2 linked regions of the Bombyx mori genome follow. The protein of the gene in region 1 purifies or fractionates together with the protein of each later gene. This does not show direct contact. Links are inferred from orthologs where the notes say so. Each region holds a gene or a part of one and is shown on either strand. Other genes may lie near its edges.

Region 1 (4,028 bases):
CTTGCACAAAAACACGGGAAACAATTTTTTTAGTACAATCGCGACAAAACACTCAGGTCTGCTGAAGAACGACCCAATCAATTTTCTACTGCACGCTCCATTCTCTCTTGACTTTTGCTGGGACTTACTAAGAAGGAAACACCCACTGTGAAGATAAACTTTTGGTTTCAAGTACAATGATTTAAAATAGATGGTACTATATTTTTCTGCATTGTTTCTAAGCTGACCTACTCTTACCATTTCAAGGTAAAACAACCTTAGCATAAAATGTAGTCCACACGGGCAAAACTCCAGACAAAAAATTAACAGATTCTAATCGTGTGCTACTTATGATAAAGCTTTTAAGTAAAATAATATAAAAATAAACATCTCTATTGCTTACTGATAAACTACTGCCTATATACTAAATAAAACCTTTAATATTCATGAGCCACTTATTGTCTTACTTAGATTTACTATGGGATAAGTGAGCATTTTGAATGAGTCAATTTGAATAAAAATCTTTTTATGCTAAGAAATTCATTTTATTTATCACTGTCTACATACAACTAGAGATTTAACAAATAAATTAACAACAATTTTATGGTATAAGAAATTAAATTTGGTTGAATAACAATAGTTGCCATCTTTGAAAAGGTAGTTTACCTGGCACAATGATAATAAATCGAGGGATGAAAAGCAATTAGGCTTAAACAACATCTTTGTAGCTATCTTTACTAGAGAACCATTTAAAGTTTAAAATTTTAACAAAAAATGTCATAACAAAAAACTTCTTCAGCTATTTGAATGGCATAAACTAAATGAAGTTCAATTAAAAACAATTGTTTGTGAATAGATGGAGAAAAATCCCCTGATTCCGAATATGTATATAACTCAATATGAGCCTAAATGTTGCTTAAACTAAATAGCCTTTCTTTCACCTCTCAAAATGATTTCAACCAAAAATTAACATTGAAATTATGCTTTTGAGCTGTGGCATGTAGTATGTTGAAAATCAAGTCACTTGTAAGGTCTATAGTCTCAAGTGGCATTAGGCAATCACCTTTTAAAAAATTTTTGGGTTCAATTTAATGAAAAGAACATAAATGTTTTTGCTTAGCTTAGCACATTAATATTGTTTCCTATTTATATCTTTCTATCTATCTTTCAGCCTATAGGCGTCCACTGGTTTTAATTTTTGTTTCCTTGCATTTTTACTTTTATCTTTTATAAAATTTCAACTAGGTTTTATTTGATATTAAATGCAAAGGTTTTCATTTCAAAATGTAACTAAAAATAAATATTGAAATGTATCTGAAAAAAGTCAATGTAAGTAATTGCAATTTTATTTTCAGAACAAACTGAGATAGAACTTTGAAGTTTTATTTATATTTATTACATGCAAATGTTCCAAGCGGAATGTTTCAAACAAACTTATTTCAAATATTTTTGTTCATCTTACAAGAAATAATAATATTTATTAATCAATTTAAGCTTTTCAACTGAGTAACATTAACTACTTTATAAGAATGAATTAAAACACCTAACTTTTCTTTTGTCTTAATGTTTTAGCGTCCAACATACTGTTTTCTTCAATTGCCTTCTTTTGTGATTCGATAATTTCTTTTTTCAAATGAGCTGGTCCTGCAAACATTGCTGGAGTTTTCTTGGTTTCAGGTATATAAATTTCAAAAGTTTTAAAATATTTTAATATGCTTTCCACGTCTTCCAGCTTCAGTTTATATTCAAATGCTATTTTATCTGGACTAGCTTCTTTGCTGTCTATTTGATGAGCGGAAATAAAGGTCACTACTTGTCTAAGTGTAGCGCGTCCATATTTAATTTTTTCCGGTTCTCTAAATCCAAATTCAAAATCTTCGACTAATTTCCGGTCCTGAGGCAAAGGCCTTACCTCGCTTTGTTTTTTTCGTAGTTCCCGCGTAACGTCATCTTCAGACCGACCGTAAGATGTTACATAAACATCCTTCAGTCTATCGTCAAGCGCAGGATCTTTTTTATCTAATTTTTCGTCAATATTCGGGTCAGCTTCTAAAGTTCGTTTCAAATCTTCAATATTTCCTGGATATCTGGGGGCCGGTGTAGGTTTTTCTTTTGAAATCACACGATGAGCTCTGTTCTCGATGTTAAAAGCTTTGACCGGTCTTAATGCCTTCGCTACTAAAGCACCCATCTCAGATGGCTTTAGTTCATTTAATAATCTCTAAAGTTTTATGTTTTCATAAAAATATCATTTTAATTAAAATATTACTTGTTATTTCATCACAAATACAATCGCATAGAGGTTAGGCAGCATTTTGACATGTAAAAATGTCTTTGACAAGTACCGTAACTGTCAATCAGTTCTTTTTTTAAATAACTATTAAGCACCAGCACCTCTTAAGTGCTTATATTGAACACGTGTTATGACTTACGTACCTAAAGACCGTTATCTACATACATACATTGAATCGTATTTATTAAATGTACTAACATTTGAGTCTTGATAGAGCCTCTTTTAACGCGAGCCTCGATGATCCCTTCTCAACGGACTTCTCGGCAGGTGAAGGAGGCGTATTCGTAGCTCGTGTTTGTTTACTTAATACACGAGTAGGTGATGGACTGGGGCTACGTCCGAGCCTACGTCTGTTCTGTGTTAAATTTCCCTTTTGTGTCGTGTTAGAAGCTGTAAATTGAAATTTACTGCAAGTTTACAAAAAAAAATAATTTGACGGATTCTATCATCCTACCTATAATCTATGAAGAAAAAAAACAGGTTTGTTTATTTGTTAAATGTTACTAGCATTCGCGTATCTCTTCCTTGATTAGGTTTAATTTTTATTTATTTTTGGCACTCCAGTAACATTTTTGTCAAAGTACCAAAAATATACGACAGGTGGCGCTTATGTAGTTAAAAAGTGTTTCTAATATTATTATGTACATTGGCAATGAAATTATACTACATACTAATAACATTGAAAATCGTACCTGCATTAAAAAACGACGGTGTCATGTGAGCTGCGTAGCTAGGAGCTGTATTCGTTGGTATTCGTATGGTGCACCCCGGTGTCACTGTGACTGTTGAACTCAACTGTCTTCCTCGGTGATCATTAAATATACTACTCCGCATCAAAAAATTCTGAAAATCACAGAAACATTGATAATCTACCTTAATTATGTATGTATCTATTAAGCAACATAGAAATCAATTGATTGACCAACATAATGTACAGGCAGAATAATTACTAAAAAACCTTTCTTACCCTAGCGTCGTGTACATTTTTCACCATGTGAACAGGATACATTTCGTTTGAAGAAATACGATAGGTTGATTTTATGTTAGATTCCTTTAATTAAAACAGTTAATTAAAAGACGGAAATTTGCGAAACTGTGCCCAGGGTCGAAAATACTTACTTTACTTTTTACATTTGGCTGAATCGTAGAATTAGAACGAGCGCTCGAAGTTCGCGATTGAGGACGAGGAGACCTCGTAGAGACAGATTCTAAATCACTTTTTGGTATAATATCACTGGTGAAATCACTGTAACAAATCCATGTGACCTACGGTTTAATAGACACAGTACCCTACTAACCCCACAGTTCATTAAATATAAGTTCAGAAATGTGATTACCCTTTATTTTTTATATTATTTATCGATGAAATAGGTTTAGCTGATTTTATTCGCCCCTCGAGTTGTTCTTTCTTGACAGTCTTGTTAATATCTAAAATTAACAAAGTAATTTTGTTCGTTGTCCCAACATTTTCACGATGAAATGAGATGGATAGATATTTATTTTTAAAAAAATATGATATTAAGTGCATTTCATAGAACTTTAAATATAGATTAACACTACCTTGAATATAGTAATAGTCTAATAAAACACCAACCGTGTCTACAAAATTGCAGCAGTTGTTTAATTGATAATTGTTGGGGAAACACTTCGCGTAACGCACCGACAACTTCCATAAGCTATCATTGCAAATTTTAATACAAGGCTTGCAACACAGAAAGTTTTTCCAAAAATCTTTCCATTTATCTAAATGGCCATT
Region 2 (4,060 bases), on another chromosome or scaffold:
TGTCTATGGGTTCCGGTAACCTCTTAACGCCAAGTGGGATGTGAGCTCGTCCACCCATCTATGCAATAAAAAATAAAAAAGAGGCCAAGAATGATGATTTTATAACAGCACCAACATCGGACTGCTCTGAGAAACTGAGTTTAATATTCTCCAAATAAATTCGCATTAAAAGTGAACAATTTCCAAAAATATTCGAAATTTAGTTATTATGCGGAATTATTTGGTATCACCAGTATTTTTCTCATAGATCATCTGTCAAAGAGCGTAGTTTAGATTTTTTTTTTTTTTTTTACTATTTACAAAATTGTTTACTATTAACAAAATTAATACATAATTTTATCTTACTATAAAAGACAAATAATGTAACTGGTAAAAAATAACTAATAAATGTTGCAAAGATGATTAATATTAAACCTTTAAAACACTCCTGTAAAATTTGTAAGTTTTGAGATTATACAGTTTTAATGTGAGAAGACGATACATGCATCAGCTAATTCAACTGCTGATGTTCCAAAATATCTCACCTCTCCGTCCAGTTCCAGTACGAGACGCAGCACCCCGTGAGCGGCTGGATGCTGGGGCCCGAAGTTCAGGATCATGTTGCGTACTTTCTTTTCGGCCGGTTTTATGATGCCTGAAAGATTATTATTTTTTAATATTTTTATCATTTGAGGGCAGAGTCTGCCTCATTCTAAGCGATTAGGTGATAAACACTTTCTTTATTGGATAGAGTAGTTAAATGCTGCAGTCTCGCTACCTTATACAGGGTATACAAGTCAAAACAATAATATGTAATTAATGAATCTCTATTACTATATATCGAGTGGTGAAATGCTATTTCGTTTAAGGAAAATTACGCTTAATACGCGACATTTATCTTTGTTATTAAATGGATTTGGTATCAGCATCAACAGTTCAATATTTTTGTTTGAACTTCAATTAAGTTTACTCCATTCAAATAACTGAAGGAATTTTTTGTTTTCTCGAAATTTTGAACTTGAAATGGCTTTCCTGTAAAGTCGCAAAAATGTCGCTTAAACCAAATAGACTTTCACCCCTCGATATTATAACCTCCAAAATAGAGAGAGTTGATTCTAACAAAATCCTCTAGAATATCATTTAAACTAGGTCATTAAATATAATACAAGCACTTAATCCAAGAATGTATGTTCATACTATCCAAAATAAATAATGGATACAGTAAAAACTGTAATACTAAAAAATTATCATTCATTAAACTACGGAAAAAATGACACGACTGACGATGAAAAGTTTAACTAACTTTTGTTTTCTCTTTGATTTTAGTGGGTTGTAAGTTAGAGACATAATTACACTTACTTTGACAGTTTATTATGTTTTAACACATCACATTATATTTTAATAACGTTAATATGGGCGATGGAGGTTTAGGCACATTTAGTCCAGAGGTCTTTATTTAATATAGTGGCTGGCCAGAATATGCAGAGTATCGACCTCAAGCACTTATTTACACCTGCAATTGGTTGGTGATTGTCTTACGTCACTCTCCAGGTCTCACTTCCAAACAGGAGAAACTCTGGCTTGCTCCTCCTGAAGAGTCACAGCGATTTTTTTAAGACTTCCAGTTTAAAGGTAATCTAGCCACACATGTCGTTGAACAGGACACACTCTACGAGTTTACGGCGCAGCAGAGTCAAAGTATCATCAATCGCGTTTGAGTGGCAACCACTTGGCAGGAGAAGACCTGATCGCCCTGTACATAATGGCACTGTGGAGCGAGATCAGGACTGCCAGCATGATCTGGAGCGTGATCATAAAAAAAAAACATAAGCACAAGACAGGGTCAAGTGGAGACAGCTTGTGAGGGCCCTATGTACCAGCAAGCCTAAGATAGCAACAACAACAATGTTAATATGATGAAAACGGATTTAGATGTGAATTTGTTATGATTGATTATGGTCAGTACTAATTTTACTAAATGGGTGCTAGAGGTATTTGCGGCATAACAAAAATATTTATGTGCCACATTAATTACTTACTGTTATAAGGAACAGGTTTCAATGATTTGGTCGACTCATCAGGATACATGACTGGCCCTTCAAATTGTTTCACAAAGTCTGGATCAGGGAACCAACGGTGCCCATCTCTTTGGGAGCTGTAAAAGTTCTTATAGTGAGCTCTGTTAGCCATTAAGCTTTCGATTTCTAGACATTAAAAGCATATCCAATCCCGAACACTAGAGCAGGGATTTTTTTAACTTATTTGTTTTTTTTTATATCTCTAAAAATAAACATATGAATTTAGTAACTCTACAACAATAACTCTACTTATATCTCGTGTATAAAATGACTTAAAGAGTGCTTTTGGGAGATAACTATATTTGCAACACATTTGGGATACTGTTGTACCCTATTATTTAAATTCTTACTCAGGGCTGTAAGATTTCCGGTTAGAAAGTCGTTCATCTTTAGTTGAGATCAGTATCATTAAATTTGGTTGTGGAAGACTATGTGTGAAATGTAACAAAATATTATGAATTTAGTTATAAGAGTAATGTTAGATACAGAGTCGAGGCAGATGGAGTCAAAGTTGTTATTGGGTTCCTTTAATTACAGATGCGAATTAAACGAAGTAGTTGTAAAATTATTGAGTTTGCAATTGTTTATTTTGTTTGAATTCATAAATAAGTTAAAGTGAATTAACCTACAATGTTACATAATTTTTTTTTCACTTTTGCTCAATAGTTGAACACACTCATTTTATAATTCTGTATTTAACACTCACTTCACATTATGAACAGCGGGAATGTTCTTTAATAAGACCGATTTTTGGCCGAAATTAGGAGATTTTCGCAACAAAACATTGAGAAGGGAGGCCATTTTTGACAACTCCGTTCGAAACGGAACGTTTCGTTTCTCGTCAACTTCTCATGTTGTCAAAACGCCAATATAGATCAATTTGTTTCCGGCCATAAGTTACTTGAACATTTAACCACCTCGAAAATCGAACCATAATTTTATTCTGATTCAAAATCAAGTTTTCAAAAGTTTAAGGAAGTACAGTAAGAACAAAAACTAGTAGAAATTTCTAGAATATACAATGTTAATTCTGTTCGCAATCACGAAAATTGTAATGATACAGCTTGGAGCCAGGTAGAGAGATTAAAATGTCGAGAGCCTTAAGAGAGAGGCAAGCTCAAAACAATATAATTGTAAAGAAGATATTTAATGACCAAACAGTTATGGTATGAACAGAAGTGGGTGTTTTTTTTTGCATAGATGGTGCCAAGTGGTTACCGGAGCCTATAGACATCTACAACGTAAATGCCACCACCTATCTTGAAACAGGAGTTCTAACGTTTCAAAATAGTTACAACGGCTGCTCCACCCTTCAAACCATTAGTGCTCCACGGTAGATACCTATAGTGTAGGGTGTAGACGAAGCGGTATTAGAAGGCGTCGGCCTCAGCACTTTCGATGAACGAACCTGTTACATTTTGACGTTGCTCTTACTGGAGACACTAGAATAATGACTGCACACGGGCGCTATACGAGTTAAAGACGTCTTTGGGTATGAATAGTTTCTTTAAGGGGGCACCTACTGAACTCCCATTCACGGAAAGTTTATTTTTATGCATGATAATGCACGCTCACGTGTTGCAGCCGTGGTTGTCAATTACATTCGAAACATTGAAATTGTAAATGAATGTTATTGAACAACCAGCGAGCTCAAGACCCAAGTCCCATAGAGCATGAATGGAGACAAGTATGGAAGAGAAAAATAATCTAAGCTAATTTATAAAATATATTAAAGAAGGAAAAATGTTTTTAACTTTCGCAGTTATATACAGCATAAAGTTTATTATTTATCGGACTACTTTATAGACTATTTTGGGCGGTGTACTTCGAACAGACGTCGTCAATAAGACAAAATGAAAAACAAAACATTTTTAATAATTTATTCTTAATTATTCCTCCATGATTTCATTACAATCTCGAGTACTGTAATAATCGTCTGGTATCACGTATCCATCGGGAGGCCTCATCGGACCGAACGTTCTGGGTCTCTCGTCTCCCTCTCT

What was found. Proteins that work in one complex are often made in the same cells at the same time.
Region 2: the proteins of protein NDUFAF4 homolog (region 1) and NADH dehydrogenase-ubiquinone Fe-S protein 2 purify together in Homo sapiens (co-immunoprecipitation; 3 studies listed by BioGRID and IntAct, with this or other methods). This does not show direct contact. The link is inferred for Bombyx mori from reciprocal best matches to the Homo sapiens genes NDUFAF4 and NDUFS2.

The regions. Positions count from the first base shown.
Region 1 is NC_085126.1:4,813,486-4,817,513, reverse strand, and holds protein NDUFAF4 homolog, read right to left. Parts: upstream 2,471-4,028; 5' UTR 2,171-2,470; coding exon 1,523-2,170; 3' UTR 503-1,522; downstream 1-502. UniProt on the Homo sapiens protein: Involved in the assembly of mitochondrial NADH:ubiquinone oxidoreductase complex (complex I). May be involved in cell proliferation and survival of hormone-dependent tumor cells. May be a regulator of breast tumor cell invasion.
Region 2 is NC_085129.1:20,060,761-20,064,820, forward strand, and holds the start of NADH dehydrogenase-ubiquinone Fe-S protein 2, read right to left. Parts: upstream 2,872-4,060; 5' UTR 2,859-2,871; coding exon 2,764-2,858; intron 2,135-2,763; coding exon 2,019-2,134; intron 635-2,018; coding exon 525-634; intron 1-524. Other genes in the region: kanadaptin, read right to left, coding at 3,947-4,060. UniProt on the Homo sapiens protein: Core subunit of the mitochondrial membrane respiratory chain NADH dehydrogenase (Complex I) which catalyzes electron transfer from NADH through the respiratory chain, using ubiquinone as an electron acceptor. Essential for the catalytic activity of complex I.